Linked DNA regions of Arabidopsis thaliana. The protein of the gene in region 2 interacts with the protein of the main gene of each other region in a pairwise test. Each region holds a gene or a part of one and is shown on either strand. Other genes may lie near its edges.

The links.
Region 1: the proteins of SPL4 (region 2) and AT4G10600 interact in a two-hybrid assay, tested with the Arabidopsis thaliana proteins (one large-scale study listed by BioGRID).
Region 3: the proteins of SPL4 (region 2) and AT1G48150 interact in a two-hybrid assay, tested with the Arabidopsis thaliana proteins (one large-scale study listed by BioGRID).
Region 4: the proteins of SPL4 (region 2) and ABR1 interact in a two-hybrid assay, tested with the Arabidopsis thaliana proteins (one large-scale study listed by BioGRID).

Annotation. Positions count from the first base shown.
Region 1 is NC_003075.7:6,544,179-6,552,043, forward strand, and holds AT4G10600 (RING/FYVE/PHD zinc finger superfamily protein), read right to left. Parts: upstream 4,701-7,865; 5' UTR 4,470-4,700; coding exon 3,756-4,469; 3' UTR 3,663-3,755; exon of another isoform or gene 3,491-3,662; intron 3,388-3,490; 3' UTR 3,057-3,387; downstream 1-3,056. Other genes in the region: LCR2 (low-molecular-weight cysteine-rich 2), read left to right, coding at 1,162-1,222, 2,009-2,223; AT4G10603 (S locus-related glycoprotein 1 (SLR1) binding pollen coat protein family), read left to right, coding at 6,800-6,854, 7,448-7,656.
Region 2 is NC_003070.9:19,803,390-19,810,822, reverse strand, and holds SPL4 (squamosa promoter binding protein-like 4), read right to left. Parts: upstream 4,561-7,433; 5' UTR 4,346-4,560; coding exon 4,047-4,345; intron 3,969-4,046; coding exon 3,743-3,968; 3' UTR 3,481-3,742; coding exon of another isoform or gene 3,433-3,480; 3' UTR 3,118-3,432; downstream 1-3,117. UniProt on the Arabidopsis thaliana protein: Trans-acting factor that binds specifically to the consensus nucleotide sequence 5'-TNCGTACAA-3' of AP1 promoter. Promotes both vegetative phase change and flowering.
Region 3 is NC_003070.9:17,779,705-17,786,868, reverse strand, and holds AT1G48150 (MADS-box transcription factor family protein), read right to left. Parts: upstream 1,473-7,164; coding exon 501-1,472; downstream 1-500. Other genes in the region: AT1G48160 (signal recognition particle 19 kDa protein, putative / SRP19), read left to right, coding at 1-90; AT1G48145 (plant mobile domain protein), read left to right, coding at 1,956-2,003, 2,057-2,362; DPMS3 (dolichol-phosphate mannosyltransferase-like protein), read right to left, coding at 2,955-3,014, 3,161-3,268, 3,366-3,467; PER1 (1-cysteine peroxiredoxin 1), read right to left, coding at 5,369-5,623, 5,687-5,815, 5,905-6,053, 6,142-6,259.
Region 4 is NC_003076.8:25,887,923-25,896,303, reverse strand, and holds ABR1 (Integrase-type DNA-binding superfamily protein), read right to left. Parts: upstream 4,856-8,381; 5' UTR 4,626-4,855; coding exon 4,187-4,625; intron 3,385-4,186; coding exon 2,648-3,384; 3' UTR 2,416-2,647; downstream 1-2,415. Other genes in the region: RPN5B (regulatory particle non-ATPase subunit 5B), read left to right, coding at 1-159, 320-427, 540-644, 743-799, 904-1,100, 1,244-1,343, 1,438-1,550, 1,652-1,805 and 2 more.

The DNA.
Region 1 (7,865 bases), on a different chromosome or scaffold from region 2:
ATCGCTAAACTCAACTCTGGCCACGTTTTATGAAAGCATAAACTTGATGATCCTTGATCGGTGGTGCGACTTTGATAATGGATCCTCTATGTACGTTCACTTTAGGTCGACAATATTTTAAAATGATCTCAAGTATCTCACAATCACCAACATCTTTACGGATCAGATCAAGCTCCCACAAAAAATTATTGCATCTTCCATGAGAGATCCCGACCTATTTCTTAGAGCTACAAAGCTAAGGCTATCCGACTATGAGAGTCTTCCGAATCCTTATCCCTCGCTCAATGAGAAACCATGAATTCAATTGGTTTCTTTATGGAGAAACTAACCATCTCCTTCTCTTATACGAAGAGAACTCTATTTACAAGTTTTCATCCTCAGCTTTTGGCTTCTAAACTGTGTAAGCTACCGATCTTCCTTACCTTTATGATAAACTGTGTAAAACGTCTCATGCAAGCAAGAATCAAAGTCTTGGAATTTTTTTCAACATCACGAAATCAATCAACCGTCACTATCGACTCACCATGGATTTGCTTGTGCCAATTTCCTTTCTAACATTTGTCTCCAAGCGCTTATGAATCACAAGTCGGACTACCTAATCTATTGTTATGTTGCATTAGGGAACACTCTATCTTTTCATGTTATAAACATTGGGATCTTGGAATCATTCCTATCATTGTACTTTGATTTGGTTTGTTTTGATTGAATGAATGAAATCAAGTATTTGCACAAAAAAACTGAAAAACAAAAGTCTATTTCAATAGTTACATTCTAAATTAATTTTTCCTTTTTATGAAAACCAAAATGCTATTTTTATAACCTTTTCCATTTTAGTATATCTATTCTCTAAATTATATATGAATTTTACTAATTTATCACTTTTACTTAATTTGGAAAAATATTTTGTATAGGACTAGCTGGTAAAAAGCTTTTAACATATCAAATGAGTAAAAAGCTCAATCGGAATTTAAGGAGATAGATGGCTTAATATAGATAAGTTATAATGTGGGATATACCTAACTTCTTATATATATGTATGCTTTCTTCGTTCTTTTTTTCTTTTTTTCTTTTTTTCTTTTTTTCTTTTTAAACACAATCAATTTTCAGATTAAAATATATATATATATATATATATATATATAATCATTTATATCAGCTAAGATGAATAAAAACATTATATTCTCGTTTACCGTTCTAACTCTCTTCGTCATTTTTGTGCAAGGTTTGTAATTATTTTATACGTAACATATAGTCTTTTTAAAACAAATAAATACAAATATCATATAATAATTTTGTTTGTTCAATTATGTTATATAAAATTTGTTTCAAAGTTAAAAATTTCACTATCTAACTACATTATATTGACTATTGAGTAAAGCTCTTTGATGAAAACTTTATATAAAACATAAAAATTGAGTAAAACATTTTGTGCTAGACCAAGAAAACCGATACCCAAAACGTATAGTTTAAATTTCTTCACCTATTTTTGGTTAATTTCTTATATTAATGGTCTTATTATATTACGAAAATTTATATTTGCTATACATTTTCTCGACATGTTTTCTTTGCTTCATTTTCATTAACAATAGTTTCTTTTTTGTGCCCTATAGAAAATGTATTAAGCTAGATCTGTTTTGTATAAGAAATATTAATATTTTGTTTTAAAAAGGGTAAATTTATAGAATATTTTGAAAGTACCTCTATATAATTTATTTTTTAGTTAGAGATAAACTATTTGATAATATGTCTAGCTACATTTTTCTGCTTTCATAATATTTACGTTATAGTTTGTTTAAAGTAAAATTATATGACATTTAAAATTTAATTTATATAATTTTTTTAGTAAGAATGTTATGTATTCGTCAAAACTAATGACAATTGAAAAAAATTGTTACTGTAAATATGTTATTAATATTCAGAAAAATCTGTAGCACAACTATGTTTTACTAAACAAAATAAAATTTTTTTTTTCATTACAAGAACTGATAATTTGTTTTATATTTACTAGTAACAGGAGTTATCGGGAATTTACAACAAAGAAGACAAATGAACCAAACATGGTGTTCTAGGCCTCTACTTACCCATAAACAAACAGGGAAATGTGTCATCGAAGATTGTGAATCTAAATGTAGGCAGAAGTGGAAAGGGAATGGTACTCAGGCTACATGTCGTAACCAGTGCAACTGCCATTTTCGTTGTCCATGGATTCAAGGCCAACCATGAAATTTAAGGAATCAATGTTAAATTTCCTTAAAATAAGTCTTTTCAAAAAGTTTCGAAAATTATAGAAATTCATTTCAGTAAAACTCATATCATAGTGACATAGTGATACTATACGTCTAGTACTAATGGTAATCAAATAAAATATTTGTTCCTAGTGAGTAGTGACTGACTTGTACAAGTGTCTTTATTGAATTTTGATATAGTATCCTTTTATCACCTTCATAGAAGAAGAGATCAGATCCGAGCATCTCAATAAAACTCTAGCTCTGTAGAAAAATGATCGATTGGGTTGAAGTTAGAGTTGGATAGGGTGCTGAGGAGATAAAGGAGTCGCATGCAACTTCCTTCTCTTTTCAAGACCCGATTTAACTCTAGCATAAACCCAATTGATCATTATCCTCAGGCGAACGAGTTACGGCAACGACGGTGGCTAGGGTTTCCTCGGACTCTCTCTAAGATTTTGACTAAGGAGAAAATTAAGGAGACTACCTATCTATTTATAAGGATATTAATCGGCTAGGGTTTTCTTTTTGTCTAACGAAATTTTAGGTTTACTCTCTCGTTACGGGCTTATATGGATAATTAAGGGCTTTTCTCCAATGAGTTTTAATGGATTTACATGAGTTTCATATAGAATTGAGACTTTTCTTTTACTTAGCGATTTGGATCCTACAACAATGGCCACTAAATATGTGCCTACCAAGCGACACAAAACATCAAACATAAACCATGTGGCACTTAAGATTTGAGCTTCTAGCGATTCTTGAAGTAAAGCCATATCAGATGGCTGATGTTAGCTTGCACAGTTGCACTTAAGCATAAAACAGACTCAATGCAATGCAATAACTTTGGCATTTCAAGTTTATTCTTGTTCCATAAAGCACAAAATTCTGCATATACTCCGTAAGTTCCGGAAACAATTTGGAAGTCGCACCAACGCTTTGCAGCCTTTCATATTCAAGAGAAGAGTTTTTTGGAATACAAGTAGGATATCAGGACCCTTTAGTGCACTGCCTTCCAACAAGAGCTTTCTTATCTATTTGAAATCACCTAAAATTGTTCATGGTGAGAATTGTCAGAGAATTCAACTTCATCTATGGAAGGACGGAGGGCGAGGAGAGTCCGCGAAGCCTTCAAGATTTTGAGCGCCTACTAATCCTGAAACTGCGAACCGCTCACATGAATGACTAAGATTGAGTTAATCATCAAGATAAAACAAGCCTTTCTTGCTCCTAATTTGACCTACACAAACTTATAAACCAAGCAATCGAGTTTATCATCAATGGAAAGAATTTACACTTTTTATTGCATATTATGTGGATGTTAAGTATCCTACAACTGTTAGTTGATTGCAAAGACAAATGAAACCATGAACCATTGTGGTTATATCTGAATATAAGGTTAAGAATCTAAACTAGTGACAAAGTTATAAACCTTACCATTCTTGTGTAAGAAATCTATTAAAATAAGAAATGTTGGTTGTGTAACACATAATGCCTCTTCTGTATCCAAATCAAAGCCTTCTTACATCATTATTCTTCCTCTTTATCAGCAACTTTAACCTTCTTCTTTACCCCATCTTCAAAACCACCCACCGACTCGTTTCTCCTCTTATATATACTCAAAGGATCACAAAGCAAGCTCTTCTCTTTCTCTACATCACTCTCAATTTCTCTAGAACCACAATTCCTAGCATTGTCTCCCTTACCATCCACACCGTTTTCTTTCGACATAGACAACAAAACACCAGCAAGATTACTATCATCTTCATCCCCAACAACATCACACACATTCTCCTTCTCATCCCAACAAGGAAACTCCCTACACTGAAACCTAAACTTCTTAGGCACATAACCACTACACTTCCATAACTGCCGACTAAAAACCGAAGAAACACATTCAAACAAACCCAAATCACCACCAGGAACTCCTTGTACATGAACCCTTTCTTCAATTGGTATCTCTGAACAAGCCTTCAATACAACACTCTCACTACTCTGCGTACATAAATTCTCCATTCTCAACGATTTAGTAACCGATAACTTGGACAATTCATCTTCATTGTTTTTTATCTTACACTTGTGGCAAACAAACAAATCATCACCTTTAACATAACGAGAACACCATGTATGAACCCAAACACCACATTCATCACAATCAACCATCTCTTTACCATCATCAAAATTCACACCACAAACACAATCTACTGTCCATGATTCATAAACCCAATCTTCGTGTGGCTTCATCTCAAATTTACCCCCAAAAAAAAAACTCTAAATTTCTCTGATTCTTTCACAAATTAACCCAGAAATCTCCCTGAATATCGAAGCTTTGTCAAACCCAATTCGTTTCTTCTGAACGACGATTGTAATGTTACGCGAAATAGCTTTGCGATTCTTGATAGAAAAAAAGCTATCTTGACGTAAATCTATGGTTCTCGCTTCCCATTTCTGAACGAAGAAGACGAAGATAGGAACCATAATTACTAAAATATGGGCCGGTATGGGCCGGGATGGGCCGGGATGGGCCGGGATGGGCCGGGATGGGCCGGGCTTAGAGGATAGGTACTGTTTTTTTTTTGTGGACGGACCAAACGATTTCATTTAAAAACCAAAAGCAGATAAAAAACAGAATGGTCAAGCTCAAAGAGGAATACAAGCGGAAATTAACGGTCAAATAACTAAATCATAATGAAGTTAGCAAAAATATTTGCACGTATAATTTAGCCTAAAGACACGTGTAGAAGATGTGTTCTTCTGAAAACCACTCGTCACGTCGTAGTACCAAAATCTTCTGGGTCGATCATATGAAACCGCTTCAAAAAGATTTCGAAAACCGCTAACTTCGGGGAAGCTATATCACTGACTACACCCAATTTGATGTAGTCTAGGATCAATCTTTCTATGTACCTTGAATAAAAACAGAATGACGAAGATATTACTTCTTGAGCAATTAGGGAAACAAAAAGAATTTGGAAGACATACAGAAAAATCGAAGGAAAGATATTGGAATAGAGATATTGGAAGTTGAAGTTTTGATTTTTAGGTTTTTTTCTTTGATCGTTTTTATGCTAATTTTGTGTTTGTTAAAGCTGAAACTTCAATGAGATGGCTTTGATTTATGATTTTTATTTGGGAATTTTAGTTTGTAGATTTATGTTTTGTATGATCATTGAATCTTTGAATAACCCATGCACTAGTAAGATGTTATATTATAATATATGGATACTAGACTTGAATTGTTCTAATTAGTAGGAAGAGAACTATTGTTGATAAAATAACATGTACAACTAGTGTACCTGTTAGACTATCTACATTAGTTACATGGTTACAATGTCCACTTTTCTCTTTTCAACACTCCACATTATAATTCAATACCTACATAATTTTTACTTACTACAATAGTTTTGTTTAATAAAATTACAACACATTACCCTACCATTATTTTATATTTTTTATTTTAATTATGTTTATGTTTTTTGTGATTAATTAATTACAATTAATATCAAATAAAATTAAAATAAGTAAAAATTAAATATTTTAAAATATGAAGGATAGTTTGGAACAGTTGACGATATAAAGAAATTTGGTGGATAACCATAATTTGTTATATTATGTTGATGGTTAGGAGATTGATGTTGGGTAGTTAAAAAGGTAATTAGAAAAATTTTGGGAGTTAAAATGATATTATTATGATCTATTTCACTAAAAAGACGGATAAAAAATAAACAAGAGTTTATGAAGGATGATAGCAAAAGTTTAATTTAAAAAGATGGGGTTTTTGTGTCCAAATTAATTAAAACAAGTCTTTATTTTTGCTATAAGCCTTCATAAATTGGGGATTGTTAGGAGATTGATTTTGAAACTGATAATTGTTCAGATTTTGGTAGTTAAAAAAGTAGTTAGAAGAAGTTTGACATTCCTTAAATGTAGTGATATTGAAATTTTTTGACATTCCTTTAATGGATCAATGCATTCTGTTCCTATCCTTTCTTATATGGATTGAGACTAAAAATTCTTTGAACTACCACCGCTCAACTTTATCATGATAATTATAAGTCAACTCAAGTATTTATAGATTATCAAAGTCTTAATCCGAACTCGATAGGACCAAACTGAAACCAAACCAGTTATTTTATTTTTACTATATATATATATCATAGCTTATTAAATTTTTTACAATATTATAAGGATATTATAATTAATAATTATAAAGATAAAAGAATGAAAGCGTTTGGCAAGAGCAATGGTAGAATTAGAAAGGAAAAAATAAAAATGGTTGAGAGTAAATAAGGATTCGCCACAAAAAGCACTAAAAATTGTATTTTAATATATGGACAAATATATAAATTTTATAAGTTATATATATTGGAAAACTATTTTGTAAATGTAGAGCGAGTCTTATGCTTTTATTATCTTAGATAATCAACGAGTAATTTAAGGAGTTAGATAGCTTAAAATATACATGTTCTAATGTGGGGTACATCTATATATGTAGGTGAACTTTTTCTTTCCTTTTCATTTCTAAACTCACAATCATTTTTTGAAAAAACAATCAATTGATTTCTATCATCGAAATGAAAAAAACATTCTCATTTACAGTTCTAATTCTTTTTGTCATTCCTCTGCTAGGTTTGTATTTTCATTTATAATCATTTTTATATGTAATTTTTATTTATTTTAAGTTAATTATTTTGAATAAATTCTTTAAAAAATCTGTTCAGCAATATTTATATAATATGTGTCATAATTAATTTTCAATTAAAAATTTCATCATATTGAATTTAGGACTTTTATGGAAATTTCATACTAGAACTAGAAAATTAATACGTAACTATTTAGTGCTAGACCTAGAAAATTGATAGCCAAACAGTTTTTTTTAACAATATTTTCACCTATTTTTCAATTTAATTAGGTAATTTTATGGTGATAATATATTAAGAAGAAGTATTGTGATATAATCTGATTGAACATATACGTTAATATTGTTTTATTGCCTTTTCATCATCCATTCATTTTCTTTTCTTTCCACATAGATAAATGTGCCATGATAATTGTTTTCATAAACATTAAATACATATATCTTATATTTATAAGTAAATTTTTATGACATTTGAACTACCTCAATGTTAAACTTACAATTTTTGCTATTATAAATTTTTTGGAAACGTCTATATTTATAAGACCAAAAAAAAAACTAATATTTCATCTTTAATATATAACAGTAACAGGATTGATGGATAGTATGCCACAAAGACACCCGGTAGAAGGTTGGTGCAAAAGGCCTCTACCTAACCAAAAACCAGGACCATGTAATAACGACCGTTGTTCGGCTAGGTGTAAGGAGCAGAAGCAATTTGAGTTTAAAGGGGGCAAGGCAATGGGTATTTGCTCTAGTGAAAATAGATGTCTTTGCACTTTTCGTTGCCGATAATTTTGATGCATTTATTTATTTTAAAATAATAATCATTTGTTTTTCTCCTTTTCTGACATCCAAAAATCATTTCATATTCCGTATTATATAATATGTCTTATTAAAATCAAACAAATATTTGTCATTTCTATTAGTGTTATTACCAAATTCTTGTATGGATTAGTGTGTTGTAGATGATAAATTTTATTATTGTTATAAAAAAATAGATT
Region 2 (7,433 bases):
TCCCATTCGGGTCTTTCTTTAGGACACATCACTGGCCCATTCTCTAGGGATTAGTTAGGGACCACCAGTTATCATTAACACCCATGCTTAATAATCTTTTACTTTCCTTTTTATTGTATACTCGTCGATTTTGCTTAAAGTTTAATGAACCTTTGACGTAATTATGATTCGGTAATTGGAAGAAGTTGGTTGTGTAGTTTACGCCAATCAAAGAACACACTTAAGTGATAACAAAACCAATACATGCAAGTAGTTTCTATAGTGCTATATATTATGCGTTGTTGGTTTCGGAGTTATAAGCGACATTTTTGTTTTGTAGTCGTATCTATCTGCAGCACAACTAAATCATATTCGTTTCGCAGTCATCGACGACATCGAAAAACTAACTGCGTTTAGTTAAAATTTAAAATGCTAAAAATGTTAACGTTTAAAAGTTTTGGACACTAGTCGCTAAACCAATAACAATATAAGTATATAACAACCAAAATATTAAATTTTTGTTGATTATTAGATTAATCATTTTTGGTGATTAGGTAAATTCACTAAATTGCTAATTGTTGTCGTTTGTCATTGTTGTTGTCAACAATAAAACGAATAAATTTTTATTTTAGCATAAGCAAAAAAAGAGAAAGAAAGAATCATTTCGATATATGATAATGAGATAAACCCACCATATGTTTGGGCTTAATTGGCCCAATTAGGACATATTCTCGTTTTCCTCTCTCTCGCTATCTCTTGTTGCATTTTCGAATTTGGCTAAAATTAGAGTTGTGAAATAGGCAGTTAACAAAATTGAGAATATTACGTAATTAGGCACTTTTTGGAAAGTTAATTCCTAATAAGACACTTTGAAAAGATCAAACACTTTCGATAGGTTATTTGACTCATTTACCCTTTAAATATATTTCTTTTTTGTTTCATTTTATTTGTCTCTCTCCTTCTCCTCTCTTTTCTCTCTCTTACTCTCACAATCAAGCGAAGAAAATAAAAACTTTTACCATGATTTTGATCTCTCTCTCCCCCTCTTCCCATCATCAGTTAACTTATCAGTTCGTTCCTCAATTTTGTTATAATTGAATTTCTAGGATTTTGTTGAAATCTGAGATTCAGATTTTGCTCTTTCTCTCTCTCTCTTTACTGCAAAATTAGAATGAATCTTTGCTCTCTGGGATAGCTTCATTAATCAAGTTTCGGATTACAAAAACGATGTGAAGCAATCTGTCACCATCTTAAGGCGTAACATCAAGCACATCCGCGATTGGCTCGAAAAAGAATCCTCCGCTACCTTCTCATAGTTAGTACTCTCTCTCTCTCACATGATTCCTATTGATTTTCATGTCATTATCTACAATTCTCCATCTAACACACTAAGCACATGTGTTCATGTCTTTGATTTATGTCATTATCTCCAATGCTCCATCTTACATTTCTTCAAATCTTTACTTATATCTTAGATTCGTTCTCCAGTTAATTCTGGGTATCAATTTGATATAAGAAATTGATTAAAAAAAATTGTTTCCTTTTTTCATTGTTTTTTATGTTTAGCATCTAGATCTGCAATTGATATTGGTCGAATTTCGTAAAGATCACATTTTTACGATTTGAATTATTCCAAAAGTTTTCGTTTTTTTTCCCATCGAATCTGATTCTGGCGATTATCGTTCATATATAAACTTGTGTATTGAAATGAAACGACCCCGTGAGTCATTAGATGACCACATGGACTAAACCTGTTGGACGATCATCAATGGACACATGTTATCTTTGATTTGCTGTGAATTTGTTTTATCTCTCAGTAAAATTATCACTTTCTTGTTTATGCTTACAATATATTTTATGGTTTAGAGTTTTGTTTTACGATTTTGGATTTAGTGGATAAGTATTAGGAATTGAGGGTTTGGGTTTAATTTTAGGGTAAGGAATGTAGGCTTTAGTGCAGAGCCTTAAGGGTATAAGGTTTACACACCACAAACCATTTGCTTGTGTCAACGATATTGTCTCATATTCTAAAAAAAAGTTTGTTGATGGACCTTGTATTGATATATATAAAATGAATTGTTTGGATAAGTTTATGTGGACAATATATATTGGATACGTTAATACGTAATTAGGAACATAGTTTAATATCTGATATTTGTTCGGCATATATAATACTACTTAAGCTAAAATATTTTTATTTGATTTCAAGCATTTCATATAATGTTTACGTGGACAATATATATTGGATACATAATTAGGAATATAGTTTAATATATGATATTTGTTGGGAATGTATAATACTACTTAGGCTTAAATATTTTTATTTGATTTAAAGCATTATATATAATGCGAACTGTTTGGATATGTTTACGTGGACAATATATATTGGATGCATAATTAAGAACATAGTTTAAAATCTGATATTTGTTGGGAATATATAATATTACTTAGGCTTAAATTTTTTTATTTGATACAATATTTGATTAAACTAAATTTTTACAGATTTGACAATTAATTTTTAACTTGTTATCTCCATCTAATGCCACGTATATTGCTTTTAGTAATTGGCAACAAAATTAACTCATCTACAGTTTTTTTTCCTTCTCACGTTTGTAAAGGGTAAATTGGTCACAAAATCAATAAAAAAAGGTGGAAAAGTGCTCACTCACTCAAAAGTGTCCCAAACGTCCAAACTTTTGTTATAAGTGCCTTATAATGGAACATTCCCTTAAAAATTCTACCTAGTGAAATCTCTCCAGGAAAGAATCCGTCAAGGTCTAAAACCACTCGTTACTACTTGAATCGGCGCATTTAGTTCGTCTTTCTTTGCCTCTTTGTTGTTTAGTTCATGAGAATCGGTTCATTTGATAGGATCTTAGGTTTAACATGATGTTTCTCTAAGAGTAGTTATTAGGAATTTGGAGTAGTAATAGATGTTGGGGGTTAATCTGATAATTCATGTAAAATCTTTCACTTAAATGTTAAAACTTGTTAGAATTTAAAGTTGCTACGATTATTGGTTGTAAAGATCATAGCAGAGGATGATTAGGTCGGTTGCAAATTACATTCATTTCCAATTACTTGTGCAGTTGTGCTCCAAATTTGTTTGAGAACATCTCAAAAGTCACATTTTTTCTTGTTTAATAATTAATCCTGTTATCTCTAACTTTAGTATAGTCATATGTATTTCTGATTCAAAATCAGGTAATGTTGCAAACTGGTCATGCATGCCAAGGGAATAAGATAATTATTGATGACGTCTAAGGAGTCTCTCATCATAGCAAGTGATGGACCCTGAAAGGTTTGCTTCCACTATAATCTACTCTCAACGATTTACTAATAATGGTAGGTGTTTATTCAAATATTCTATTCTACTACTATGTTGGCAAGGAAAAGCTAGGATGATATATCTCCTTCGTGGCTCTGAAACTTCAGAGTGACCGTGGCTTTTGGTTAGTAGTTTCCCTGTGCTTTTGGATAAGTCACACTCCTTACTCGTATCTGTATTCAAAACGTTTACCAGTTAGCATTCACACATCGACTAGGTAGAAGTATTACACATATCATTAGCCATATCTTTGAAACATACAAGATAACACTCAAGGTTCAAGTATAGTCTTAGCGTTTGCATATAGCTGATAACATTAGAGAGTACTAGAGAGAGTGGTAGTTATTTATTTCTCTATAACATTGTTAGATACCACAATTTTAGGATTCTAAGAGAGAAGTTTAGATGACAGAAGAGAGAGAGCAGACAGCTTCTCTATCTAATCTGTGGTCGCTTGAATGATGAGTTTGGCATAGGAAGTGTCATCTCTACCCTTGATCTTTCTTGATTCTGCATCACCACCTGACCATTGATTCCTCTCCGACCTGATCCTTCTCCATAAGTACTCTCACCAGAGCTCTTCCTTCTTCGCTCATTGTGTCCAGCTAAGCGCCTCCTGCAACTTCTCTTAGCTTCATCAAACTCTTGGAGGTCATGAAACCTGTTTCAAGAACTCAAAAAAACCATTCAAAGATCCAGACAAAAAGTTTTTTGAAGGGTAAATTAGGTTGTACGTTACCTACTGCATTGTTGACAAAAGCGTTGGTTAAGTCCTGAGAGAAAGACAGAAGATGCCTTTGCATGAACTTCACACACTTTGTGTCTCCGGTGATACAGTTTTGCCTCTTTCATATCAGCTGTGCATCTATCTACTTGGCAAAGCCGCAACGAGCCACCACGATTGATGCTACCTCTAGACCCTCTAACTCTATCCCTACCTACTTCCTCTTCTTCATCCGTATCAGTCTCCATATCTTCTTCCACAAGGTAAGACTTCTTTTTCATGTAACCTTGTCCTTGTGATCTCTTACCCTCCATTTTGGAGTCTTATAAAGATGGTTTGTTGGAGGAAGGAAACTCTAATAGGTTAAGCAATGTTTGAGGAATGGGACTTGATGATATTGTTGACGAAATTGAAGGGTTTAAAAGGTGAAGTAAAGTCGGGAGATGGACCACTGTGTTCTTGTACGTTTCTCTGGTGGAATAAGTGCATGATTACGTTGATGTGCTAGCTCAGAAAAATAAAAATTAAAGTTTGGGAAAGAAAGAAAAAGAGATTTACATAGATAAGTATTAAAAACATTTTCATTAGTTTGTTTGATTTAGATTCAAGAAATAATTGATAGTAATATGAAAACTAAAGATCAGTTTTCCTAGTTTAGTGTTTGAAGTTCAATCTGAAAATTTGTTTCAAATTTAAGATCTTTTTTACCATGATGATATCATTGGTTGCCTTTAAGAGGAAGTCTTTATTGGCCTGCCACTGTGTGCAATAGTACATCAAGGTCCATAATTTACACATAGGCTTAAACTCATAACAATCTTTTTGTTGTTTAGGAACAAAACAAAAAGTACTCCTAATAAATTGATGTGACTATTGAATTCGTTTGCTTGCAACCTTGAGGTCTTCTTTTGGTAGACTCTTATTGGAAATGCATTTACCGTAACTTAGGATCTGATCACTGTTTTTTTGTTTGATATATATTGTTTTTTAGACATGGATAATTATCACGTGTATGGACCAGGACAAACAAACGAATAGAGTAGATGCTTATATACGATCTAACCCTTTTGATTTCTTTCTTGTGTTAACATTTATTATTATCACTATTGCTTATATAAAGATTCTATGTAGAAGTGGAGGAATTACAGATTGAAAGATGGAAATAGAACAAATGAGATCACTTACTTTAATTAAAGTGTTGATGCAATAGATATCTGGAACCATTTTAAGACAGAGATTTGTTGTGAGTTCTAATGCATGTTTTTCTTTTACTTGTTATCACCATGAAAGTAATAAAAGCCTCTCACTTTTACCTTCCTTTCTTTTTTACAGTGTGTTGTGTGGAGAAGCAATCACTGACAGATTCCACTGGCATCATCATAATTAACTCTCTGTGAATAGTCAGTGAAACAAATGAAAGTAACTTTGAATCTTTGAGTTGAATAGGTAAAAAGAACCAACAAAGCAGGAAACAGATAAGTTCACTGATTTACTCAAGTGTGTAATTTTCCTTAAACATTTTACAGTGTTGTTGTCTTATTGTTTCTGAAGTACTAGAATTAGTGGGTAGTGAAAGAGACAAGACACAAAGGTTTCACATGCGACATTGTACTCTCTCTGACTTTCTGCCTTGCCTTACCTTGCCTTACCTTGCCTGACGCAACTTAGCTTTTCCAAAGCCAAAAGCTGCCTTTTTTTTTTTTTTTGCATAACTGAATAAACTTTGTCCCTATGAGTTTCCGGTTTGGGTTGTTCCTGAAAGATTTATTTAGGTTGATTTTCAAACCAGAATTAGATTGAGATGTAATAAACAAATTAAATCACACATTTCTATATTCATTAAACATTATAACAATTCGGTTTCGATTTACAATTGTTTCCTTTGTTTTCTGTTTGTGAGTTGTGACTGTCCATGTGTCACATCTCTCTTATATATGTGCAATTGTAAAATTTGTGTCATAAGTAACTTACATAACCTATGGGTAAAAACAAGTGATAACAATGATTCACTTCTTGGAATGTTATAATATGTTGGAACTTGAAAGTTTTTGTTAGTGTAAATAAAAGTGGTACTCTTGGAATCATCTCAAGTAAAAGGTTGATATTCAAGTTTTGGACTATCTAACAAAAAAGGTGATTCCAAATTGTGACCTGGAAACTTTACATATGTATATGATCCACGAGAAGAAGAATATATATTAAAAACAGTTTTTTTTATATAAAAAAAAATCTTTCAATCTGAGTGATAAGAGTATTATGGATGATACTAATTTGTTCGCATTAAAACTTTTACAAATGTTGGATTCTTTCCTTTATTCATATTCTGCATTTACTTACTTCGTTCCCCCGCGTCGCTCTTTTTACGTTAGCAAACAAAACGGACGTAACTATCCGTAGGACCTTGTCCGTAGCTACACACCTCCATTGATTTTTTTTTTAAGATGCCTTTGGTTTTAGAATCCAAATTATATGATTTGTCGAGCTCAGTGATCAATTTTGTCAAATTTATGTTTTGCCACGTATCAAGATTTGCATGGGTTATAATATACAACTAGCCAGTTAATAGAATTTGTTCAAGACATATATCATCAAGATTTGCATGGATTATATGGCTAGTTAATATTTTTATTCGAAAACATTTTAAGGTATTTAAAACTATATATGCGTAAATATTATATTACTTCTCTACAACGTGTATAATCATTTAGATCAAACTATTAAAGATTTCTAGTTTAGGTGCATATTTATATTTTTTATAATGTTTATTCTAAATGAGTCGAATACATTATACATGAATTACTCATGCTAATAATAATCCCAGAACCGGTTACAAATTTATGGCAGGCCTTACTCAAAAGTCAAAATTATAATTTTTGTAATCATTTTTGAATGTAATAAGCTTATAAGTGAAAAGAACGTGAGAAAGTTTCATAAAATTTAAGTCAAAAAATCAGAACAAAAACAAAACAAAGTTTAACTTTCAATAACCTATAATTTTTTGAGCCCTAATCGTTGATTGGTTTATGTGACCTCTGGACCGGCCCTGAATAACCGTGATAATCATACTTATTAATTAACCTTCAATATAGAAAACAAAAAAATAAAACCAAATATCTGAATATTGGTCCATTAACTTTTGGTCCACTATCCACAACATTGCTAGAGTAGTAATCTTCAACAATACTAGAGCATCTTTGTGTATGCTTGTGAAAATAAAGTTTTGGAAGTAGTACCAACAGATTTCGAATCGATTCCTGTGAGTGCCAAAAGCTATATTATTACTTTCGATCACACGAGGAATGAGATTTGTCTCTTCGTTTATAGGAATTTCAACGGAACAAATCTTCTTCTCAGATTCTTTCATATATCTAACTATGCGATCCAGCTATCTCTTTTACATAC
Region 3 (7,164 bases), 2.0 Mb from region 2:
CAGAAAGCGAAGAAGCAGGAACCTCAGGCCACAACTTCAACCTCTGGAACTTCTTCAAAGTCAGGCAAAGGTGGCAAGAAGAAGAGATAAAACAAGCCAAGCCCTCCCTCTCTCTCATCAGATTTTATGGCTTTTAATCTCTTTAACTTTCTGAGAAGAACACAAAGGTGTTTGCAGGTGTAACAATGTTTCAAATAGAACATCGTCTCTTTCAACCCTAAGCTACTTTGTTTTCACCATTCTACTTCTTCTTTTTGGCATCATCCATTGACATTAGACAAGAAAGAATGCCTAAAAAGGGAACATAAAGATATTGTAATTCACCACAATTAGTCTCACTAACCACAGCCATAACCAAAATCGAAATTACAGAATCAAAAGAGTTGAGATAAAACAGATATCTATAGATCGTTACACACAACAACATAAATGGTAATTACCTAATGAACTAACTAAAACCGTAATTAACTATGAGATCGTGCTTAATCAAGCTGTGAGAACTAACTAAAACATGGGCATTCCATTGCTTCTTCGCTTAAGTATTCACTTATGTCGATCAATAACTCGTCGTCTTCGTTGGTTGAGGAATGATCTTGAAGAGGAACCTCAAGATTGTTGTCGTCCTTAAAAAGACCAAACACGTCGTCGACATCTAGGTTTTCCCAAAAGCTCTGATCCTCCTCTGTGAACATCGGTTGTGTTTGTGTTTCTTGGGGAAGACGCATTCCGTTATTCTCTTCCTCTGTTTCACATAAGAGGCCGTCAACAAATCCAGAATCTTCATTCACCAAGTAACGAGATTGATCAGATGATGACTCGCTGCCAACAGAGAAAACAGGGTTTTGATCAAAACAAGTAGTAACTTGTGACGAAGGCTCAAGTGAGGAGTAAGAGTTCTGATCAAAAGAAACAATTTTTAAGGAAGACGGAGACAAGGTACTAGGGTTTTGACCAAAATCAGAAGCAATTTGAGAAGACGAAGAAGAAGACCCACTGTCGTTGTTAGGGTTTTGATCGGATTTAGAAACAGAGTGTGATTTTTCTTTCTTCTCAAGATAATCCATGAGATGCTTCTTCGTTCTCATCAAACGATCTTCGATGATTCTTAACTCAGACAGATCGTCACAATCACGGTAAAGATCGGGCTCTTCCCACCAAAACTTGGCTGATTCAGGGTTAATAGTAGTCTTGGGAGGAGACTTGTTGTTGAGGTAACAGTCAACAATTTCAGAGGCATGAGAGTAGCCCGAGAATGAATAAACGACATCGGAGTTCTCGTCAGGAGAAGTTACAAAAACGGCTATGTTGGCTCCGGAGAGAAGGCAAAGATCAGCCGCTTTGGAGAAGAGTGTGGGACGGCGTTTGCTGCAAGCGACGGATCGTTGTTGTTTAGTCATGCGTTTCTCAATTTCAATCTTTCTTTTTGTTCCTCTTTTCCTCATTGTGCAATCAGTTACGTTCGACGACTGCATTATTAGGGTTTGTTTTGTGTCTTACAGAGAGAGATAATGGAATCGAGAGAAAAAGAGAGAGTGAAAAGAGAGTAGAGGCAAAGCACAAATATATAGAGATTAGATAATACTAATGTCGGTATTATCATGTGACTCGGTCAAACTTAATTTTTTTAATTTTTACCAAACAAACATTTTCATTAAGATCATCAAGATTATTGCATCTAATCACAACTGTTATCATCAAATATCAACACAAACACTATAAATTCAGAATCAGATTATGCATGAGAGAAGAGAAAAGAAGAAGAAAAACAGGATCGTACTTGGAGAGTAATACAACACAAGCACCCACATCCTCCTTAACCAAAACAACAACAACAATATCAGACAAACAACCATAAACAGTAAGAAGAAAAGATCAAACACAAAAAAAAAGCTCCAACAAAGTTGTTGAAGGGTCAGCAGAGGAGAGCTCAAGCTCGAACCAAAGTGTTTGATGTAATGAAGCAGAGAAGGAAGATGCTGATGGAAGGATCAATGCATGAGAAGGTGCTAGCATTAAAGGCAGACAACAACAAAAAAAATCTAGCCCTCATAAAAAGTTTGCTTCTGGATGCACGAATGGAGATGAAACAAGAAAAGCATATAAGCATAAGGTTCTGAAGTCATCTGATGAGTCAAACATTCACATCGCTGTAGGGGATGGAAATGAGGGACAGGATTGTTGTTTGCTTCATGATGATAGCATCAGAAGTGAAGAAACTATGAAATCCAATGAGCAGTACTCTGAAAAGGGAAACAATGATTTTGGTGAAGGTGATGTTGATAACAATGACAAGACTGATAAGAGATTTCAAGAGCTGAATGTGCTAGCATTGTCGATAGAGGAGCGTATTCTTAAGGCATAAAGAACTGTGGCATGGTTGAACGAAAGGAGAGCCATAAACACACAGAAAAGCAGCTGGTTTGAATTAGGTGTTGTTGTGGACAGATAAAGAAAGGAGAAGGCAAATGCAAGTTGAATATCAAAGTCATATCTTTATGATCTTTTTGGTTCAGTGTCTTTTGATTTTCCTGCTTAGTATCTTTTAAAAACTGGTTTGGTTCCAAATGTTTCATTTGTATCTTTTGAAACCTACTCAGTTATGAGCGACTTAATACCTTCTTGGTGTGTTGCATATCAGAGTTTTCGTACAGAGGATAGCCTGATTCAATCTGTTGATGCGATCTCTTTTGCATACCTGGAGAACTTACTAGACACAAAGGCCAAAGCTTTATGGTAATTCACCACAAGAAAATGTAAATGCTTCTATTGTTACTAATAAGTTTCTGCAATTTGGAATATTTGTTATACTTTTGCGATTACTTTTGGATGCATACGAAGCTTTTGCGTTTTACCTCAGTGACACTGTTAAATTCAAAAATTCCAAACAGTACAGTTAAGTCTTTTGTCAATAACGAAAAATATCTCTGATGAATGGTCTGATAAAAGCCTTTGTGTCAATTCGATCCAACATCTACCCCTTTGTGCTTGAAGAAGTCCTTAGCCTCTGCAATATCCTGCAACCAAAGAAACAGATAAAAGACACTAAATTAGCAAAAATATTGAAGGATGTCAACATTAGATAACACGAATCCGTATAGAGCAGGATGAAAAATAAGAACAAGGCCGACTATGGCAAACAAAGAGCTAGTCTCAAAAGTACCTTCTGCAGCAGAACTGCTTCTTGGGGGCAAGTAGGAAACTGCATGAGCCCGACTCCAACCATTAATAGGCCATAGCATCCGAGGGATACAACAAAGTAGATCGGTAGCTGTAAGACAGACCGGCAATAATACCAAATCAGAACAGAATCCTAATTTCAAAAAAGCAAGAAACCAAAAAAGAGGACAAAATTGTTTGTTACTCACCAACCATGTATGGCTTCGAGGAATAATTGCAGCCTGCAAAAGACCAATCCAGAAGGCAGAGATAGCCACCAACAGGCTCAAGATCTTTACTATATGCTTCATTTGTCCTTTAAAGTAAAAAATTATGTAAAAGAGTTTAAGTTAGCTGCGAATAGAAATGCATAGACGATCACAGCATTCTCCAAGAAGTTGTAGAGCATGTAAAAGAAATCACTCAGCGAGCCTAATAAACAAAATCTAGTAAATCAATGAACTATTCACAATTTCGTAGTTGTCATGATCAACACATATATTCCTCAAGAGCAATATTAACATCCCATTTACCCCACCAAAATTGATCACAAGCTCAAACCATAAGAAATATACCAATAATAGCTATCAGTTGTAACTAGATGGAGTCTCAACAAAGCAAATGGATTTTCATGTTTCAGTGTGTAATGTTCACTAACACAAAGACGCGCACATAATTTCCAAACATCAAAGTAAAACTAGAATCTAGCACAATCTGAACAGCTCAGTAACCCAGTTTATACAACTCAAACCATCATGCTATATCCAGATCAATCCGTACTTTTTCGACAATGACCTCTGACTGGGATAAACAAAATAAGAAATTGAAAATTATCTGACTCCGAAATATTGTAACATCAAAAAAAAACAATTTCCAATTCCTGAGATGATCAAGTCCGAACTGAAGCTACAGAACCGATACAAAATCAATGAGTTCCAACAGTTCCTCAGACCAAACGTCAAGAACTCAAAGTCTCAGACCATACGAAACTTAATCCTAAGAATTGTGTTAGCTTCCAAGAATCCAAATTCACAAATGCTGATCATGTAACATCAGAGGAGGTAAGAAAAACAATCACAGGAACCAAAGCAATAGCAAAAAAAATCCCTTACATTCAGGCAAGAAGCATTTAAAAAACAAGAATTCTAAAGAACCTGAGCTGCTTAAACAGGATTTGAATCGAAAGCATCTGAATCGAACCGTGTAACAAAAAACAGGATTCCAATTTCATATCGCTACCACTGATGACTGATCAGTAACCATAGAAACATTTCTAGACGAAATTTTTATATGGTTCCTTAAAACTACATAGTTCTATCACCAAAAACCGAAAACAGTAGCACAAAAGTTTCCTAGAATCATCTGAAAGCTTATACTAAATTAGCTAAATAGTACACCAGAACAAACACAAGGTAAATCACCAAATCAAGATAAAACCATGGCAAAGAAATATAAATTCCCAACAAAACCGATCCGAAAGGAGATGTTCCTCCAAAAAATTATCGTAAATCGATACAACACACAAAATAAAGAGGAGGAATCGATTATACTCACAGTTAATCGATGAGATCGTGATCGTCTAAGCGATAAAATCAGTTATAGAAGATTAATCTGGGTGTGGAGGTCACAAGTACTCGCCGTCGACGACGATGAATCGACGATATAACAACCGGTGAATACGGGGAACTCGTGAATATGCGAATTCACTTATACACTAAAACGATGCCGTATAGTCCCCACTTATGTTCCTCCGGTCTAAATGTCATTAATCCACATTTTGGTTCACGCTATATCGGTTTGATGCGGTTTCATATCGGTTTCATTCGGTTTGATGCGATATTCCCCTTTTGTCACTTTTAAGTTCGGTTTTAAAGTCACTTTTCCATACAGATGAGAGTATTAGCATTTTCATAAGCTCAATACGTTTTTCAAATATATCAACTTTTACATTTGATTCGGTTTCAATTCTTGATCAAAAGCAAGGATTGAAGAATTCGGTTCTCTATTCCAATCCGACTAGTAAATAAATCGTCGTACTAAACCACTCTATATAGAACAAACTTCTTTTTATTAATACAAGGCCTACACCTAGTGCACCACATCATCACCATACGTTACAAACGTAATTATTTTTGTTTACACGTACGTAAAAACATTAATATCATACAATACTTGCATGTACGTTATATAGTAGGCTTTTGTTATTATCTTTTCAAGAGACCTCTGTGTGACGCAGATAGCCTTTCTTTGACGGAAGATCGGCGGTCTTGAAACCCTGTGGGAACATCTTTTTGGCTTCCTCGTCCGACACAGCAGGCGAAATCACAACCGGTTGATCTGGCTTCCAGTTAACCGGAGTGGCGATCTTGTTATTGTGCTTGGACGCCATCAACAACGAGTCTAAAGCCCTCAATACTTCGTCCATGTTACGTCCCGTGGTCGACGGATACAAGAAGCTCAATTTTATCTATATATCACAAATCCAATTAACCAATAAAATCATACATGCAATAATATATGAAATTATTACCTTACTGTCAGGACCAACAATATGAAGGGCACGAGACGGTCCGTTCTCAATTGGATCAATCATGTTAAGCTGAGGAATGATCTCTTTGTTCGGGTCAGCGATTATCGGGTAATTCACCTTGCTTCCGTGCTATATCATACATATGTAACAAATTAATCAAAACCAAAATATGATCTCTAGCTAGTCTGGTATATGCATGCATGAGATTTAAATTATACATTAAAGGCTTCAATATCTTTGATCCAGTCTTTGTGTGACTGTACATCGTCACAAGACAGACCAAGGAGCTTCACGCCTCTCTTATCGAACTCATGAGCGTATTTGGCCATCGCACCAAGCTCCGTGGTGCACACGGGTGTGAAATCCCCTGTGTGACCGTCAACAAAAATCAAGAAAACAAAAAAGGAATTGCAACAGAAGTCAAGAACTCAAGATCTATATATTAACATATATACCGGGATGAGAGAAGAGGACGGTCCAAGAATTGGCGAAGTAGTCATGAAGTTTGAACTTGTCATGTGTCGTCTCCACTTCTAGGTTCGGCACCGTGTCTCCTAGTGTGATCCCTGGCATTTTACCTTTTATATTTATATATAGAAAAAACTTTCTGTATTGATTTGATGTGAATGGATGTAGTAGAAGTTGAAGTTGCGTCGAGGACCGATTAAATAGAGATCGCAAGCTGGTTAGGTTCGTGGATCAAAGTCAGAAAAAGAGAGAGAGAGACTTGATGATGTTCAAATTGAGGTGCATGCAAAAGAGTATAGCGTGGCGTTGTTATGAATTGGGTTCACGCCACGTGTCTTCGTATAATCTTCAAAGTTCAAATAAAATAACTCTTTTGTTTCGAGAAAAAACTTAAAGCTAAGGCGACGCACGATGTCTAGAGAGACTCAAGTGTTTGTATTTATTTTTTTACTTGTGATAATCGACAAAATCTTTGCGTTTACACCCAAACATTGTCGTATTAAGTTTCGTTTGGGCCGAGACTATGGTTAATGGGCCCATGTTTTGAGAAAAACGGCGTCGTTACCTCAAAAAGATTAGTTCTTCGGACAGACCTAGGAGGATCAGAAGTTCTTAAACGAAAAAGAAGAAGCCGAAAACTTCTGTCGGATCTGGAAGCTCTCTCTTTCTCTCGTTTCCTTTCTCGCTCCCGCTTAACGCTTCTCTTTGCTTAATTATTCTTCGTCTTCCTCTGGTTTATTTCAAACGTCTCTTTTTGGTTTTTGTTGATCACGGACGCTTTTCTTTGGTACGTCCTCTGATTCCAATCACCCACACACTTGGTTTATGTTGTCGAATTTGGATTGGTTCAATCTCTTTGTGGTTTGTTGTTTCTTGTTTCTTGTATTAGTTCTTCGTGTCTTTGTATACGAGTAATTAGCTTGATTTTTTTGTTGAGCAATTTTTCTTTCGTACCAGTTTAGGATTTCTTGTGTTCAAATTATGAATCTTTAATTCTCATTTCTCAGTTA
Region 4 (8,381 bases), on a different chromosome or scaffold from region 2:
CTGCTGAACGAAGAGAAACAGATGAGGCTCGCAGAAAATGTCGCCGGAACTAGAAAAGCAGCTACCGAGATTCTTAAGCTTTGTTTCGAAGCTAAGGATTGGAAACTTCTCAACGAACAGATTTTGAATCTCTCGAAGAAACGTGGTCAGCTTAAGCAGGTCACACTACTTTCTATCGATTTAGCTTTTGAAACCTGCTTGTGGTAGTTTAAGGTTTTCGATTACTTGGAACGGTTTCTACTGAGTTCTGAATCTTACTGAGAAATTGAATGAAGAACTGAGTGAGATATTGAAAGTGGTTAGGTCTCTTGATTTGCAGGCTGTACAATCCATGGTGCAACAAGCAATGCAGTATATTGATCAGACACTAGACATAGAAACTCGGATTGAGCTTATTAAGACTCTAAACAATGTAGCTGCTGGAAAGGTGCGGATTAGAGTTGGCTATTGTTGTTGTTGTTGTAGTTATATTTGCTTGAATCTTGATCACTCCGTGCAAGTTTTTTTCTTGATGAATATGTGTGTGTGAGCATGTGTAGATATATGTCGAAATCGAGAGAGCTCGTTTGACCAAGATGCTTGCTAAGATTAAGGAAGAACAAGGTTTGATTGCTGAAGCTGCGGATCTCATGCAAGAAGTTGCTGTAAGCTTTTCTTCCTCTACTTTCCAACTTTCGTGGAAATCGTTTTTTATTTATTTTATAGTTTATCAATGTGCATTGATTGTGATTATGAATTATAGGTGGAGACATTTGGTGCTATGGCAAAAACTGAGAAAATTGCTTTCATTCTTGAACAAGTAAGACTTTCTGTTATCTTTTCATATTTCTTAAGCTTTGTGCTTTGTGCTTTGTTCTTGTTTGTATGTTGTGATTCTAATTATTGGTGTGTAAACTTCTGAAGGTCCGCTTGTGTTTGGATCAAAAAGATTTTGTCCGTGCACAAATTTTATCTAGGAAGATCAACCCAAGAGTGTTTGATGCAGATACCACGAAGGAGAAAAAGAAGCCTAAGGAAGGTGAAAACATGGTAGAGGAGGCTCCGGCTGATATACCTACATTGTTGGTGCTAAAACGGATTTACTATGAGCTAATGATTCGGTAAGTCCTTGATTTGGTTTAATACATTCTTCGCCAGTTATTGGTGTCAAAATATTTGAATATTATTCTCCTCTGAATTTTGATTTCCCTTTACTTCTGTGATCTTTATAGTAAAAATATAATGTGCTGATTCTGTTGTGTAGGTATTATTCTCACAACAATGAGTACATTGAGATATGCCGTAGCTACAAGGCGATATATGATATCCCTTCTGTAAAGGAAAACCCAGAACAATGGATTCCAGTAAGTCTCGTATTGTTGTTTGGATGATCTTGTGGTAGTCTACGTTCTGTAATTAGCTTGGATTAACTTTTCTCCCTTGATCCTCTAAATATAGGTCCTGAGAAAGATTTGCTGGTTTTTGGCCTTGGCACCACATGATCCAATGCAATCGAGCCTACTCAATGCAACCTTGGAAGATAAAAAGTTATCAGAGATTCCTGATTTCAAGTAATTCTCTTTATCTTGATAAAAATTTGGGTTTTCACTACTCTTCCCCTCGTTCCCATCTGAAACAGATTCTCAATCCCTATGTTTATATTCTGTTGCAGGATGCTTCTAAAACAGATTGTTACAATGGAGGTGATTCAGTGGACATCTCTCTGGAATAAATACAAGGACGAGTTTGAGAATGAGAAAAACATGATTGGAGGCTCTTTGGGTGACAAAGCTGGTGAAGATCTCAAACTAAGAATAATCGAACACGTAAAGACTCTTTGAGCTCTAATCTATCTTTACCTCTTTGATTGCATCAATTGTTACTGAAGAGTCTTAACTTTACAAATTCTTCACATCTTCTGCAGAATATTCTCGTTGTCTCAAAGTACTACTCAAGGATTACCTTTAAGAGACTTGCAGAACTTTTATGCCTAACCACTGAGGTAAATATAGTTTCAAAATACTCTTAAGTGTACCAGTACATGTTTAAATCTCTTCTTACCGTTTCATTATATTTCAGGAAGCAGAGAAGCATCTATCTGAAATGGTTGTGTCCAAAGCCTTGATAGCAAAAATCGACAGACCATCAGGAATAATCTGCTTCCAGATTGTTAAAGACAGCAACGAAATCCTCAACTCGTGGGCAACAAACTTGGAGAAGCTTTTGGATCTTGTTGAAAAGAGTTGTCACCAAATTCACAAAGAAACAATGGTTCATAAAGTTGCACTAAGAGCTTGAGAACCCGGTCTAGCCACACACATCGGTGGAAAGAATCTTTCAGGCTCTCGTTCTAACATAATCATTTGAGTTTTCTTTCTCTGCTTGGTTCGAACACATTTTTTTTGTGTTCTTTAGGAGACCTTGCAAGATTATATACAAAACTCTCTTTTTTTTCCTTTCTCCATGTGGTCTTTTTAATGTTTGTTACAATGAAACGAAATTATAATGCAAAAATATAATAAATTAAGAAAAAAAGCATGAGAGGATGAAAGCAGAACAATACAAACAACCTAAACCCTATAATATTTGGAAAAATAACTCTATAACATATAATCATTTTCCTGTTTTCTATTACTCTATAGTGAAACAAATAAAATGAAGCAAGTCATCAGGAGGATGGACTATTATTGTAGTTATTACTAGTCTTGTCTGATGGCCATTGTATATCCTGGAGATAACCGGTTTCGCTAGCTGATTCTGGTGGCGGCTGAACAGCAGCCGGGGAAAACAGAGGACGAGAATGAGATGATGATGACGACGTAGATTGCATCATTGAACCTCCAGTGTGACCGAAACGCAACGGAAACGACATTTGATCGTATAAATCCAAAGATTGTTGATGATGTTGCTGAAACTGTTGTTGTTGACGAGCCATTTCAGAGTAACTCAAGTTGTATGATTGCATCAACGGCTGCGAATGAACGCTTTGATTCGAAGCAGGTCTTATGGGCAAAAGGGTAGTCGTTGAACCCGAGTTCCTTGACTGGGTCGGTCTTTGAGCAGCGGTTTGGTGCACAGGTTGTGCTTCGGTTGAAGCAGGTCTAACGAGTTTGACGTTTTCAGGGAAGTTGAGTTTGGCTTTGTTGCCTCTAAACCGAAGTGCAGCTTCGTCGTAAGCTCTTGCTGCTGATTCAGCATTGTCGAACGTACCGAGCCAAACTCTAGCTGCTTTAAATGGATCTCGAATCTCAGCCGCCCACTTTCCCCATGGTCTTTGTCTAACTCCTCTGTATCTTCGCCGAGGTTGGTCCCCACTAAACGACGACGTTTCGCTACTAGCAGTTGCCGTAGTTGTATACTCGTATGTTGGGCCCGGACCTGACATGTTACTCGAAGCTTCTCTCACTGCAAATAAACAAACAAACATGTAAAATTTCACACTTTTGTTGTCACTCGTGAATTAACACTTTCTTACATAAGAAAAAGAATCGATAATATTAATGTCTCCAATAAAGATATTATAAAGTTTTTTTTTTAAGAGCGAGTATGAGAAAGTGATGAGGCAAATGGGTGACAAAAGGAATGAACAAGTAGAAAAAAAAAGGAAGTGGAAAACGACTCTTGATGCAATTGGAGGGAGATAAATTCTTTTGGCATATCATCATCATCATCATCATTTTCTTAATTAAATATCCAACCTTTTTACAACAATTCTAAAGTATATGTCTTAAGATAATCAAGTACAGTTTCGTTATTATATTTATTTTTGTCAACACTTCGAAATATTTATTTACATCTTTACGCTAATTACTATTTTTTATTCCTCATTTTTCTTTATATTTAAATTATTATAAAGTATATCTAACTTCGCCATATTTTAGAAAACGATAAAAGAAAAGAATAAAAAAACTAAATATAAGACATGTTGCTTTGTAGATTGCGTGAGGACAACAAAAGTGCAACTGTATTTAGATTTTGTGTTACAAACATTTGATGTGACTCATACCTTGATGTATATACTACATCATAAAATTATTGAAAACATTTATCAAATAGAATGATCTTATAATTTAAATGTTTTATGTTTTGTGGATACACAACCGAAATATGTAAAATTTTATCAAAATGGTGTGTACTAATGTGGTTTAAATCCGAAACAGGGTACGTGTGTTTATAGAGGACAAAATAAAAACCCAACAAAACTAACCTTTAGAAGTAGAGCTACCACCGGAGAAATATTGATCAACCGTCAAAGTATTAGCTGCCTTAACCGCTTTGGCGCCACCTTCCTCCACCTCTCTCCTCCTTTTCTGCCCCGAGGAAGAAGACGAATTCGAAGTCCCTTCTCCGCTACCTTCACCGCCTCCTTGTTGATGCTGAGGAACATTTCCAGCAACAACGTGAGTCAAAGCAGAGACAATAGCAGACATCTCCATCTCTCTACTGAAACCTGAGATAAGAGATGAGGACGACGACGATGGAGGCGGCTGCTGCGTAGGGAAGCTATGACGGTGGTGGTCGTCTTCGGCTGCGAATAAGTAAAGCCATTGATCGATTTCAGATAACGTCCGATGATCATCGTCTCTAATAGACTCGGCTTTTTTGCCAACGTTATCTTCCTGATTTGCCACTTTTAAGACACACATACAAAACCCTCCTTCTAAATCCTCCTCCTCTGAAACTTAAAGCTTATAAACGCAGAGAAAATTAAATTTAAAAATATTCTTTTTCTTCGAGGGAAAGAAAACTCTGTAGAGAGAGAGAGAGAGAAACAAGAAACAGAGACAAAGAGGAAGAAAGAAAGACAGAGATTTTAGAAGATGTGTTTTTTAAGACAAAGGACGAGGTTTAGCTGATAGATATACAAATTTAATTTTCTTGTGTTAATTACTTTGTATGGTTTCAGCGCCGCCAAATGAAAATGAGTCGGCTTCTCTCTGTACCCGTGTGAACTGGAAACACGCAGTTTTTTTTTTAATAACTAATGTTTATATATATATATATATATATATAATATAGCAAATAGCTATTTTTATAAATTTGATCTATAACAGAAGAAAATTTGGTTTTGATGATTTAACTCAATTTGAACAAATTTTGTAAAAAATTGGGTCCTATTATATGAAACGTATCTGAATCTTTTCGCAACTTGTGAGTAATTATATATTTTTGTAAATATACTATATGCGACCTATACTCTATGAACAGTTCTGAAGAATACTTTAACAAGTCTAGTAAATTAAATAAATAAGGTAATGAATTAATTATGTATATTAGCTCTGTGTCATAAGACAACTTGCATAGTAAAAACTTTAAGAAGTTATAAACACTGTTAAAATATGGAGGCATTCAGAAACGATTATTAATTACTATATTTACGGTTCGGTGCTGAAAAAGAGGTAAAACCATTAAATGGAATATTTATAAAATAAGATTATTTTTGCATTTTGTCTAAACGGTGAGCTTGAAGGTCAAGTTGAGAGACGAGCCGTTCCGTACGAATGCGCGTGTGTTGCACGTGTCGGTTCTGGTCGACGTCAGATGCTCCGTTTGTGGACGGTGTCGGTGATGGTAAGGCTAATGCTCGTGACCGTTTGGGCCTCACCCTACGGCCCACTTGTTTCAACCTTCGTCTCTTATCTTTGACCGTTTGACCCACACCTTGTATTATTTTCTTCGTTTTCGATTTTTCAGAAGAAAATAATAGAAACGCATTGTTCAGAAGAAAATAGAAAAAAAATAGAAACGCATTGTTCAGAAGAAAATATGATTTTAGGATTTGTGATGTGTTTTTCTTTTAACTATAAGAGTTGTTTTCTTATTCGCCCGAATCGAGTCTAATAGAGGCTGCACAAAAACTTTTTGGTTAAGAAAAACATATTGTTGTCCATATTTGCAATTAAGCTCAGGATGGTTCAGATTTCAGAACTTGCAGATATGTACTCGTAGATTCTAGTCTGAACGCAGAATAATTATTATATTGATATCTTTTGGATTTTCTATTATTTTTTGGTTGAGAGTTAACTTGAGGATAATCTCGAAACGCATCGTTGGACTTTTGTTTTTAACCAATCTAAGCAATTGTGCTCACAAGTTGACGTAGTTGTTATTTTTACCTGTTATACACGAGACATTTTCGTATTGTTAAAAAGTCGCAGATTTAACGAAGCTAATAATACATAATTTGCAAAGATGGGAGAAAAAAAAACGATTGTTATTGATGTGACATTTTTCTTAGGCTGATGCTCAAGTCTCTATTAACTAATTAATTAGTCAGTGCGACAGTTTATTTTCTTAAAGAAGCTGAACAAAAATATTGTACGACAGTATAATTAATCTGGATAAACCACGACAAAAAAAAAAAAAAAACTGGATAAACCTTTTCACCGGTCATTTCCCTTTTTAGAAACTAAGATGCCCTGTTTTATACTAATCCAGTTTAATTATATTCCACTAAAACATACAGTAGCTTTTAATCACTTAGGCGATAAAAATACCTAAATATGTCTATCAAATAAAAATTAGTAGTAAAATAAAACAAATTTAGAGATCGAGTCTTCAAAGATCAATCCAAATACGGAAACATAGTGATTATTAAATAAATTTATGTTTTCACCATGCTTGTGTGTGCCTATCGCCTAACCTAATCCCTATTTAAGTTCGCATCAACGCGTCAATTAAGCATTCAATTCGGATTAGTTACGTATTATTATACGAATATGCATCCAACTTGTAAATATTAAACTTGTTTAACATGGCAAAACCGGAGAACGAGGCGTGATCAGTTTAATTTAAGTTAAGGCGTACGATAATGTCTTTTTCATCAACTTGTCCTTTTTCAAGAAAAGAAATAAGAAGAATTTCTTATCAAACTAGGTACCCAAAACTGATATCACAAGTGCGATGTGTAATAATGAAGAATCTATGTACAAAAGGTACCAAAAATCGTATCCATTTAAAATGAAAAAAAGAAGTAAATTCACATAAATTGTGACTTTTAAAGTATTTTAATGATTTAGAGTAGTTGTGTTTTTAATCATGTACTTATGTTTTATATGAGATTATGAGTTAATGGAATAAATTCTGGAAACTGTGGCCACTTGTATATATAAATATCTCAACGATTGACAATTTCGTATCGCCACTTGATAGTTGTCTATCGAAATGATGTACGACAAAACAATTAGAAATATTGATATAAATAAAATTAGTAATGCGTTACTTATTAATTAATATCTCGTTAATTATCAGAGCTTATCTGTACGGATAAGTAAATGATATAATTAACACAGCTTTAATCACCCGCTTAGTCGCAAATAACACGTGATGACGCAAACACATTTAAGAAATGGTTACTTCCGTTGAAAAGGTGGTGTCGACATGAAATCGGATTCTACTATGTTCTTTTCTTCTTTTTAGTGCTAGCTACTATATATGAACTAAGCCGAAACGAATACAGTACTAATATAAAACATTATGTATCTACCTACGGTGTAAAGAGAAACGACATAAGCGTTGCATCTTTGATTATTCTATCTATATTATAAACTTTATGTTGATTACTCGATTCATTGTATCTACCACGGTGTTTTATATTTTTGATATATGACCGAAAAAGAACACCGATTTGGATTCTTATTGTTAGGATCTCACATTAGTTGTATAGAGAGACCAACACTAAAATATATTATAGTATGGGTCATAATTTATTATCAATTAATTTTAGTTGAAAATCAGAGCTTCGTTTGTTAACCGGAATAGAATGGTCTAAAAAAGCTTTATTATCGGTTTTAATGTGGAATTCGATTTGAGATAGACTGAGAAGAACCATCATCTCAAAAAAGTGAAGCAAACCATTCATTATCGATTGGTTTTGAGTGGGAAACCAATAAACTTTAATACTTATTATTAGACAACATTTTAAATGTTATATTTAACAAATTAAAACCTGATCATTGATGGTAAGAAACCACTTGTATATACATGCAAAGGCTCAGTCTTATTAAGCCTTCACAGAAGCACCGAAAAATCAAAGTCTACTATGTAGTTCTATAACTCGTGGTATATATACGACATATAATTATGCTCTTTTAAATCAATGAATTATGTTGACATTCTAAGTTCTAACCATATATATACGGCATTATGAACTTGTATTTTTTAACGTAAAACTAGGATATTCAAACAACGTGTAGTACTGTAGTATTAAGCCAGATATATTTTCAATTTAGAAGACCGCATGCATATCTAAAAGAAAACCCAAGGTTTTTGAAAGTTATCATTTTCTAGATCTTCTCGTCTAGTGGTCTTTTATAGACCAAGTCTTTACAGGAAGGAAAACTTAATCTTCCACTATATTACTTGACTAAATCTTCAATTAAAGAAATTGTTACGAATGAAAA